Danio rerio: one gene and its partner. The protein of the gene in region 1 purifies or fractionates together with the protein of each later gene. This does not show direct contact. Links are inferred from orthologs where the notes say so. Each region holds a gene or a part of one and is shown on either strand. Other genes may lie near its edges.

Region 1 (5,047 bases):
AATTAAGTCGTCAAAAGTGGTTTCTATCAATTCAGGAACATTGCCTAATTGAAGCCTTTTCTGTCTTCTAAAGAGCTGGAAACCATAATTAATGTTTTTATTATGTCCAGATTTGAATATCGTAACTCTTTGTATTGAGGAGTTTCGTAGGCATCAATTGCACACCTGCAGCTGGTTCAAAATGCAGCAGCTAGGATTTTAACTGGGACAAAAAAAAAATCTAGTATCTTACCAGTTTTATCATCTCTTCACTGGCTCCCAGTCCAATTTAGGATTCAATACAAGTTATTTCTACTTGTTTTTAAAAGTTTGAATGGTCTGGCACCTATTTACATCTCTGAGCTTTTTCACTGGCACACTTCATTTAGGTCAATCAGGTAAAAAAAAACAAGTTTCAGCTAGTTGTCCCCAAAACATGGTTGAAATCAAGAGGTGACAGGGCTTTTTCTGCTGCAGCCCCCCGACTGTGGAATGGTCTGCCTTTACATGTCAGGTCATGTTCTTCACTTGGTGCTTTTAAGTCTCATCTAAAAAAATCACCTTCTGTCTCTTGCCTTTTGATTGTAATTAAATAATTTTAATCTGTTTTATAGGTTTTGCTTATTTTTATATATAGGTATAAATTTTGTATGCTGGTCTTTTTGTAAAGCACTTTGGTCAACATCTGTTGCTTTTAAATGTGCTCTATAAACAAAGCAAGCAAGCAAGCAAGCAAACAAACAAACAACATTACTGAGCATCTCTGGGGTAAGTTGGAGGCGGCATTGAAGATGAATCCAAAGAATCTTGGAAGACCAATTGATCAACCAGAAGTCAAGTCAATATTTGTTGTTCCTAAAACCTGGATAGGTGACGATACTTTTGTCAGGTAGTTTATATAAAAATCTGAAAAAAATCAAAATACTGATTTGCCTCAAAGTTCGACTACATAAATAACCATGTGTGTGAATGTATTCTAAATACACAAGTGCAGATGCAAACAAGAGACCACACGCCACACAGCAGTTTTTCCTTTCATTTTTTTTCTTTTTTTAAAAAACAAGAAGTTCCAAATACTCTGAAACCTGAAACCCCAGCACTGACCTCCACCAGCGAATCGCTAGAATCAGAGCAAAAAGAACAAAGGTTTCATCAATACATGATCCTAACTACAGCAATGCATAGAGATCTGGTGAACGTCACCAAACCTGGTTCCCTGCAGAGCCCATTACATTGGGTCGTGTTGACCAGAGCACCAGTCGGGTCGGCTTAAGTGCAATGTTGGAAGAACTAACGGGTTTCAAGGAGGTTTATGATATCCTGTATCTTTTTGCCAATTAGCTTGCATGTAACAACTTGTGGAGCAGAAATGGCCTCATATATAATGTTTATGAGGTCATAGCTTTATTACCATGGGCAGACGTAACACTATATGGTGCTTTAAAGATTGTACTAACTAACCAGCATAGACAACTCATCTGATATTTAGACCAAAGAAGGGATTCTTTGAGCTGTTTTCAGGGTCCTGATTGGTCTGTTACAAAAGAAACAGCGCCATCATGTGGTTATTTGAGTGCAGTGAACGAGAGCTTAAAAGTCAGTGCTATCAGACGCAGGAACTGTTTAAATACCATTCGGCTTCGGAATATGAAGGAAAGAAAACGTGAAGCATAATTAACAGCGTGTGCGTCTGGAGTGTTTTGTGTACTGCTTAATACACAGTAAGGTTGAATGTGCTAAATTGTGTGTGTCGTTGAGCGAATTAAGACCAGAAGCTACAAACAGGAGTCCCAGTGGAGCTGCAGATCTGGACTGTCCAAAAAGTCTGCTGAAAAGACACTGGGTGGGGTGTGTGAGCTCAGAGGGGCGAGGACCAGACCCCCGCCATTACAATTACTGCCCCCTGTGACCACGGGTATGCCCAGCCAATCCATTCCATCCAGAGCAGGGTCTTCGAAGTCCAGGCTGGCCGGATGGGACGAGAAGCTCAGGTCACTGGTGTCCATTGGGGATGGCGGGTGGTCCAGAATACTGGAAGTGCTCAGCATTTGACTGTGTAGGTCATCGATTAGGGTTAACGGGCTATCCGGCTCCACACCGAGGAGAGGAGCGCCGGTTGTGCTCTCTAGAAAGTCCTCGAGGCGGCCGGTGGAGGAGCAGGGCCTGTTTTGAGTGTCCAGGAGCTGCTGGGATGGGACGGGCATGGGTTCAGGGTGATGTGCTGGTGGAGAGAGGTGGAGGGGAGATGGAGGAGGGGATGGAGAGGGCGGGTTGGAGTGGAGGTCAGAAAGGGAGGGGTCTTGACTGGCCTTAAATCCAGATGAAATTTCTGAGGTGGGAAAAAAGAGAGGTTATATATATTATATCGTACATTTTTTACCATGATTTACAGATGTAAACAGTGTATAAACATATTAAACATCTATGTAACAATATACTAGAATCTTTTATACGTACATAAAAAGTAAGTACTTATTGTGTATATAAAATATCACGACTCATATGATGAGTGTAAAATACTTTATTAATAAAGGACAGCTTCAAAAACATATTTTTACCAATAGTAAAACAGTAGGTTTTACCTATTTGTACTTATTAGAGTTCCACAATGGTTTTGTTTTTAATATCTTATATTATATTATATTGTAAAATGTAGAAAAGAAAAGTATTTGCTCAGAAACAACTGATTTTTAATCAATTTAAAGAGACAATTCACAAAAAAAGTAATCATTTACTCAACTTTAAGAGGTCCTAAAGCTTTATGAGTTTCTATTTTCTGTTAAAGATATTTTGAAGATAGCTGAAAATCTGAAATCACCGACTTAAATACTGTGGAAGTCAAAGGTTACAGGTTTCCGGATTTTTATAAGGATTTGATTGGAATTAAACAGAAAAAAAGTTAAATAGTTCTTAAACAAGGGAGAGTAAATGAATTTTCAGTTTTGGGTGATATGTCCCTTAAATGCATCTAATCTAAATAAAATCATCCTAAGTTTTGTTCTCTTTTCTTCCAGCTTAAAAAACTTATCTAAATCTTACAATTACATAGTAAACTTATTTATTTAAAAAAGGACTTTTTTACCTCCACTCTTCATCAGAATTTCAAACAGATCATCTATTTGCTGGTTGTTAGAGACATTATCCTAAAAACAGAGAATATAATTAATGACACAATAATAAAAGAAAAACAGAAGCAGAAGGTGAAAGAATAAAGGCGAAAGAAAGAATGAGCACAAGTAAAGGCCATACTTTGAGGCACTGAGGGGGTTGAGGGTTCGGCTTTGGAGAGGAAGGGGTAAATAAAGTATGTCGGTCAAATGTTGGGCAAATGTCCTCCTAAAATAGATGCGGATAATGAGTTGAGAAAAATGGAAAAAGAAATGCTAGCTTTAGCTTAAAACAAAGCGAGGAGGGTGAAAGGCAAAAGGAAAATGAGGTGTGGGAATGAACTCATGTGAAATACCTTAAATGAAGGAGGAGAGGTGGGTTTGTTCAGTGGGTTTGATTCCTCACAGAAGAAGGGCTCGAAGCTTGGTGGAGCAGACACAGGCTGACTGCTCTCCTGAACACTGGAGGTTTCTACGTGGAGCCCTGCTTTCTGAACCGGCAAACAGATTTTAACATGAGTAAATGAATGTTTCAGAAGTTTCATTCAATGAATTGACGTTGCCCAGTTAACATCAATTCATTCATTCATTCATTTTCTTTTCGGCTTAGTCCCTTTATTAATCCGGGGTCGCCACAGCGGAATAAAGTGCCAAATTAACTAGCACAAGCGGATGCCCTTCCAGCTGCAACCCATCTCTAGGAAAAGGATTAACATCCAATACCTTTTTAATTTTAAACCACACCAATACTTTTAGTGACGTGCAAATCAGGTATACACTGAGCAATTCAAATCCATGCAGCTTTCACTTAATGCTAACTTTAAACAAGATGCTTAAAAAATAATACTGTAAATACGTATACACCGTAAATGCATGTGTACTATATTTACATTCACTCCTAAAGCAACACTCCACTTTATTTTGAAAACAGGCTCATTTTCATCAGTCCCCTAATGTTTTGTAGTTGAGTTTTACCCTTTTTTAATCCATTCAGATAGAGCACTTTCAGTTTAGCTTAGCATAAATAATTAAATCAGATTAGACCATTAGCATTTGCAAATTTCAAAATGAGAGTAAAGTAACATCATTTGTAATATCATTGAACATGCTGTAACTATGACACAGCTGCAGAGTTCCTTGTTTATTATTAAGCCAGAATGAGAGAATAGTTCCATGTCATATTGACCTAGAAAATAGCAACTCTTCATTATTCTGTCAGTCTTCGTACGCGACCTAACTACAGAATAGTCAAGCTTTAAACATTAAAATCCCAGAAAAACTTTTTTTTTTTTTTTATTAACCGAGTTGCAAATTGTCTAATTTAATACAATGATTTATGCTACACTAAGCTAAAAGTGCTTTTGCCAGACCCAGGATCAGCTAAATGAATAAAAAAAATGGTAAAACTTAAATGTTCAACTTAATGCGGTTATAGTGGGAATTTTGAATTAAACCTTATGTCAAAAGCATCATAAAAAGTACATGAGTGTAAAAACATAAACAAATTAAATGATATTGTCACATTCACCAAATTTAATCAAAACAACCATGTATGTAAACTTCTCAATTGCATAACTTCTGCTCTGGCTAAAGTGTGCATGTCATTGTGTTTCATCATTTTTACACTGCATTCAGTATCTGTTAAGCATCTCAGTGTTTCATGCCCCTTTAATGACCATTTAAATAACAGAGCTGATGAATATGCAATTTTTCAGATCTTCGACATGTTTAAAAAAGCACATTCACAAGTCATTTCAACATACCTTGGTGATGGGCTCTCGGACAGCTTGTGAATGATTGGCAGAAGTTGTCATATCAGTAGATGATTGGCTAGGGAGCTTGATAGGGGTCGACTGCAATCTCTGAAACAAATAAACAAACCGAAAATTATAACTCAAATAAATGTTAATAAATATACGTTTAAATATTACTTAAAATATAATTATTATAACATATATATG
Region 2 (5,686 bases), on another chromosome or scaffold:
ATATTTTATTAGGACGCCACCTTTCTGATGGTTTTATACGAGTACTGAAAGGTTGTATGTATCAGAACCAAAGACTTTTGAGACACTTCCATATTTGAGTACTATGCCACCTCACATACACTACCCTCGCTCCAACTGTATTTTAAGTGGAACGTTTCAGTATTGACTTGTCCCAAGCTCTAATACTGATTATATCAAAAAATAGTTTTGGTTAAAGGGTTTGCTAATGTAATATCTAAAATTGATCACATATTCATCACAGCAGAAATTACACTGAAATTAGGTAATAAAGGGGACGACACTGTGGCGCAGTGGGTATGTCACCTCACAGCAAGGATGTTGCTGGTTTGAGCCCCAGCTTGGCCAGTTGACATTTCTGTGTGGAGTTTGCATGTTCTCCCAGTGTTTGCGTGGGCTACAGTCCAAAGTTCCCACAGCCCAAGCACATGCGCTATAGGTGAATTGAATAAACTAAATTGGTCGTAGTGTATGTATGTGCAGGGGAGAGTGTATGAGTGTTTACAAGTGCTGGGTTGCGGCTGAAAGCGCATCCACTGTGTAATAATATATGCTGGGTAAGTAGGCTGTGGCGACCTCTGATTAATAAAGGGGCTAAGCCGAAAAGTAAATGAATGGATGAAAATGACAAAGAGGTGACTTGTCCAATTTAACACAGTACTCAATTTCAGGTTTGGTTTTACTATGAGTGATTGTGACTGGGTTCGAACCAAAGACATTTGAGAAACATCGCTTTTTCAGTTTAGTATTGGATTAAAATCATTTTATTAACTCATCCCAATTCAAAATATTTAAAACATAGCTATTATAAGGGCAGCGTTGTTAGTTGTTCTCTGTTTAACGCTTTAAATGCCCCACCATGAAAAAATTGGAATTTCATTTAAGTCCTAATGTCGCTAGTTAACATACTCAATGCATTTTTTTTCAACACATCCCATAATTTCTAAAATATCCACCTCAACCAAATTGTTTATATGTCGATTTATGGTTAAAATACCAAAATTATTACATATACTATAAAAAATCTGAAAATATGAAGTGTAAAGCCAATCTATATTTAAAAAAAATGTATGTATATATATATATATATATATATATATATATATATATATATATATATATATATATATATATATATATATATATATAAACTAAATCATCTTTATTTTTTGAAGTATACCATAAAGTATTTCAGATTCTCATTTAACATGTTTTGTTGTTGTTTTACTATAAAACCAAAATCAAGTGTAGTAGTGCAACAGGATTATTTGTTTGATTTTTTTGTAAACCTACAATGCTGTGTGTGTAAACCATCATTTAAAACAGTCAAACTGTAAATTAGTTTAACAGTCATTATTTAAAACAGTTAAATTATGGTCAACTATTTGGTAAAGCAGGCAGTTAAAGAGTTAAGGAGTTTATTATTTGTATATCTATCATGGAAGAAATTACACGCAAGTAATTATTTTTATTTGTAAGTTGATCAGTGGAAAGAAATGCCAAAATAGTTTGTTGTGAGGTTGGATAGCTTACAAAGGTGTTTGAGAAACATATTTGAGCACTATGTTACCTCAAATACATATTACTTGAGTATAACTTGTTTAAATGTACTTTTTAAACTTCTAAAACGGCGATTCTTTAGCAACAACATTGAGCCTTTTCTACATTTAAAAGGTTTGCTAATACGTTTATTTTATTTATTACATTATTTTTATTTGTAAGTGTGATATGGATGAAAAAGCCAAACGACTTAATGTTATATCTCCCAATATATAACGTAACAGCTTCATCTGCTGGTAAAACGGAGTAGCGCATCATTTGCACAGCTCCCACAGAGCTGAATTTGACGAGTTTGCCCTAAATTTAAATTAAGCGGTCACGCTGTCAACTTATATTAGGTTTTAAAACTCAATCAAGTACATTTGATTTACCTTTTCTCATATTTCTCCTCAAAAACGCGGCGTTTTGTCGTTATATATTACTATTCAGTTCTGAGGTAAAACACATTTGCTAGCTAGTTCGTTGTGTATGACGTAAATCATTTGTGTCAGCCAAATGACACATGAGCCAATCGCAGGGTCGGAGAGGTTTGCGTAACCAATCGCAGCGCAGCACTGTGACTCACCATACATGGACAGCCATCACCATATAAGGAAACATCGACTCGCTTTATATGGAGGAAAGTAGATCTATAGACGAACGTCTCGTGAGTTAAATTCTCAAAATAAGCAATATTTTACTAATTATTTTCCCCAGAAAACGTTAAACTTAATATTTGACCAAAATAGTGCTTTTTATGAGCTAATAACGTATTATCTAAAACAATACCGACCTTTAAGCAGAGAACTATTTTTAAAGGCGGAGCTGCATTGCGCGGTCGCGATTCGTCGTTTCCAAATGTGGCAAGCGCAGCGTAAGTTCAGTCGAGGTTTGATTGATGGACTGTAGGCGGAAACTATATGTTGTAAACTTTGTACGGTGGTCGTAAAGGGCTAGTTTTGCAGGTTTATTTCTGTCGTTTACGAGACCCTCAAATCCTGACTTTCATACTGAAACAAATCCATCCGTAACCAGAAATAGCGCTTGCCTGCTTTAAGTTGTCCGCTGAGTTGAGCTAATGTTTCTTAGCCTAGCATATGTGAGGTAAGTTCGGTTTTGGGTCTGGATTTGATCTGGGATCTGCTGCACAGATCGCTAACTTTACACCCACCGCAGACCGCCGTAGTGCCGCTTGCAGGTCAGCGATGTTAGGGGGCAACGGGACGGCCAGAGGGGCTGGACGCTCTGGTAATGGCACGGGATTGACACCTCTACAGGTGGGCAGCACATCTGGGGCTCTGGGGGCTGTAAACTCTGTCATAAACCTGCCCGATGGGGGCAGATACGACGACGGGCCGTCGGTCGAGGCTGTGCTGAGCGGCTCCGATGGAGACTCAGACTCCGGGGACGATGAAGAGAGCCCTGTGCCGGACAGGAGAGGGGTGAAGCGGGAGAGGAGCGAGCTGGAGGTCGGGGGATCTTCTGGATCTAACGCCGCACTCTCGGCAGGATACGGAGGGGTCTCCAGCGGGGTGGCCGGAGCGAAGCCCGGCAAGAAAACGCGAGGACGGGTGAAAATTAAGATGGAGTTTATTGACAACAAGCTGAGGAGATACACGACCTTCAGCAAGAGAAAGACTGGCATCATGAAGAAGGTATGTTCATGTGTCTTCTGCTGTTAGTCTGGAACTGATTGTACCACTGCTGTTCTACTGCTGTACTGATGCTAGTTTTACACCAGTGCTAAACATCTATGCTAATATTAGCACTACAACTACTAGTAGTGCCATGCCAATACGTTCTTCAGTAACTGGTACTCTAGTAAACTTTAGTATTTACCTCATTGTGCTTTGTTTAATTCTGTATAAATAATAGTACCACTAACATTACTATATTCAGGATTCCCACTGGTCATGGAATTGTAAAAGCTCTATCCCACATCCTGTAAGTCAGGGAATTGTATACATTTTTTGGTAACACTTTAGGTTATTACATATTTATAATTATGACATTGGTTGTTTTTTAGTAGTTATAAAGTATCGTTTTATTCAACATCCTTAAACCTACCAATACCTAAACCATAGCTCTCAAACTCAATTCCTGGAGGGCCACAGCTCTCAGTTTTGCTTCAACCGTAATCAAACACAACTTATTCAACTAATCAAGGTATTACTACTAGTAGAGACTATTAAGTAGGTGAGCTAGAGATGGTTGGAGCTAAACTGTGCAGAGCTGGGGCCCTCCAGGAATTGGGTTTGAGACCTCTGACCTAAAGCCAACTTCTTACTAACAGTTAATTAGCAGCAAATTAGTACCTTAGTGAGAAAAAAGTCTTAGTTAATGGTTTGTTTATAACAATAATTGTACCTTAAAATAAAGTGTAACCATTTTTATTGGCCCAAGTCATTGAATAACAGGGATTGTTGTTGTATTTCTTATTTCTTTACATTTATAATTTGTTTTTCAAAGTCAAATTATATTCTTCTCCCGCTTGTCAGCTGGCATAAGTCCTAGGGTGCTATCACACCTGCCTTATTTAGTTCGGTTGAATCGCACTAGAGTTCGTTTTCCCTCTTGGTGCGGTTCGTTTGGGCAGGTGTGAATCTAACAATCGTACTCGAGTGCGCACCAAAAGCGGACTAAAAAAGCATAGCAAGACCCCTTAGAGGAGGTGATCTCGGTACGCTTACAAACATGGCAAATTAATTCTTAGTATTATAAATATTTATTATTGTCTGCCACATAATAAAAAGTTTGAACAATAACACACTTACAGGTAAAAAAAAGATAAATAAAACATCAACGTTTTAATTAAAATGTAATTTTAAAAGTTTTTACTTGAATAATTCAGCGATTCCTCCGCGTACCACTAGAAGGAAGTCCGCGTACCACTTGAAGGAAGCCAGTGCATTGATAATGACCAAAAACACATTGAATGAGCAATTTTACCCAATAAATGCATCAATAATATCCACTGATTTTTAGATATTCAATTAAGTGAACTTAAACGATTAGAATGGCAACAAATATTTAGTTGAACCCAAACTACAAAAAAAAAACATTTAAAATAATTTTAAACTAGTTTTAAACTAGTGGGGTTTTGAAATCAATTAATGCAAATAATCGAAATAACTGTAAAGCCGTGATTATTTCTAAGACTATAAGCGTACAACCAAAATTTATAATCGTTGCATCCCTATTTTCAACTGGTTCAGATTAAAGCAATCAATTTGGTGTGAAAACGGCCCAAAAACGGCAGAAAATGCTACAATGTGTCATTTGTTGCCCTTGGTCCGGACCAAATGACCGAACTACAGATGTAAAACCACCCTTATGCACATAAGTCAAAATGCAATCCCCAGGCTTTACCTGTTAAATACTGTCTATATTTTGTGTCTGCCCAGTGCTCAACCCAACAGAAGGTATAATAAACCTTAAAGACGTCACAGAAATCAAGCATTTTGCTATTTAGTCAGTAAAATTTACATATTTTGACATTTGGTTTAGACTGGGAGCCCTGTATATGATACTAAATCTATAGAAATAGTTCCACTTGATTGATCCTAGAGCTACAGTAGAGATGCTAGCTTAGATAGTTTAAATTAATACATATTCTAACACTTCACAAAAACTCTACCACTAAATGTAAAAATACTTCATTTAAAACATTAATAATATTAGTGTCAATGGTTTGAACTCATGAAACTGATTCTATTATTGTAAAATAACAGTGTAAATTACAACATTGATGTTAATTCTATTGAAGTAGTAGTATCACTAGATTATATTGTAAAATTTCAGATACTAACTCTTTTTAAGTACCAGTATTTGCTTAAAATCATACTGCTGAGAAATACCTTTCTTAAATCTCAAAATCAAAGTTGTAGGCTTTAAAAAGTCTCAAATTTACTGAAATATTGTGTTGTAGGTCTTAAATCTTTTTTTAAACAGGTCTTAATTTTCATTTGTTCATGTATTGCTATCCAATCTGGCCAAAACCCATAAAATCACCAACAATCCATCTCAACTTTAAACTTTTTTTTTATTATTATTTAAAAGTTAATTTTTAACTCTGTTTATCATAATGGTTTAATTATTTTCCTTGTAATAACATTTGTTTAGAAGTGGT

What was found.
Region 2: the proteins of mrtfab (region 1) and srfa purify together in Homo sapiens (affinity purification with western blotting; 4 studies listed by BioGRID and IntAct, with this or other methods). This does not show direct contact. The link is inferred for Danio rerio from reciprocal best matches to the Homo sapiens genes MRTFA and SRF.

What each region holds. Positions count from the first base shown.
Region 1 is NC_133187.1:20,434,482-20,439,528, reverse strand, and holds the end of mrtfab (myocardin related transcription factor Ab), read right to left. Parts: intron 4,949-5,047; coding exon 4,850-4,948; intron 3,578-4,849; coding exon 3,443-3,577; intron 3,316-3,442; coding exon 3,229-3,315; intron 3,123-3,228; coding exon 3,062-3,122; intron 2,309-3,061; coding exon 1,755-2,308; 3' UTR 1,278-1,754; downstream 1-1,277. UniProt on the Homo sapiens protein: Transcription coactivator that associates with the serum response factor (SRF) transcription factor to control expression of genes regulating the cytoskeleton during development, morphogenesis and cell migration.
Region 2 is NC_133197.1:37,094,686-37,100,371, forward strand, and holds the start of srfa (serum response factor a), read left to right. Parts: upstream 1-2,439; 5' UTR 2,440-2,762; coding exon 2,763-3,212; intron 3,213-5,686. UniProt on the Homo sapiens protein: SRF is a transcription factor that binds to the serum response element (SRE), a short sequence of dyad symmetry located 300 bp to the 5' of the site of transcription initiation of some genes (such as FOS).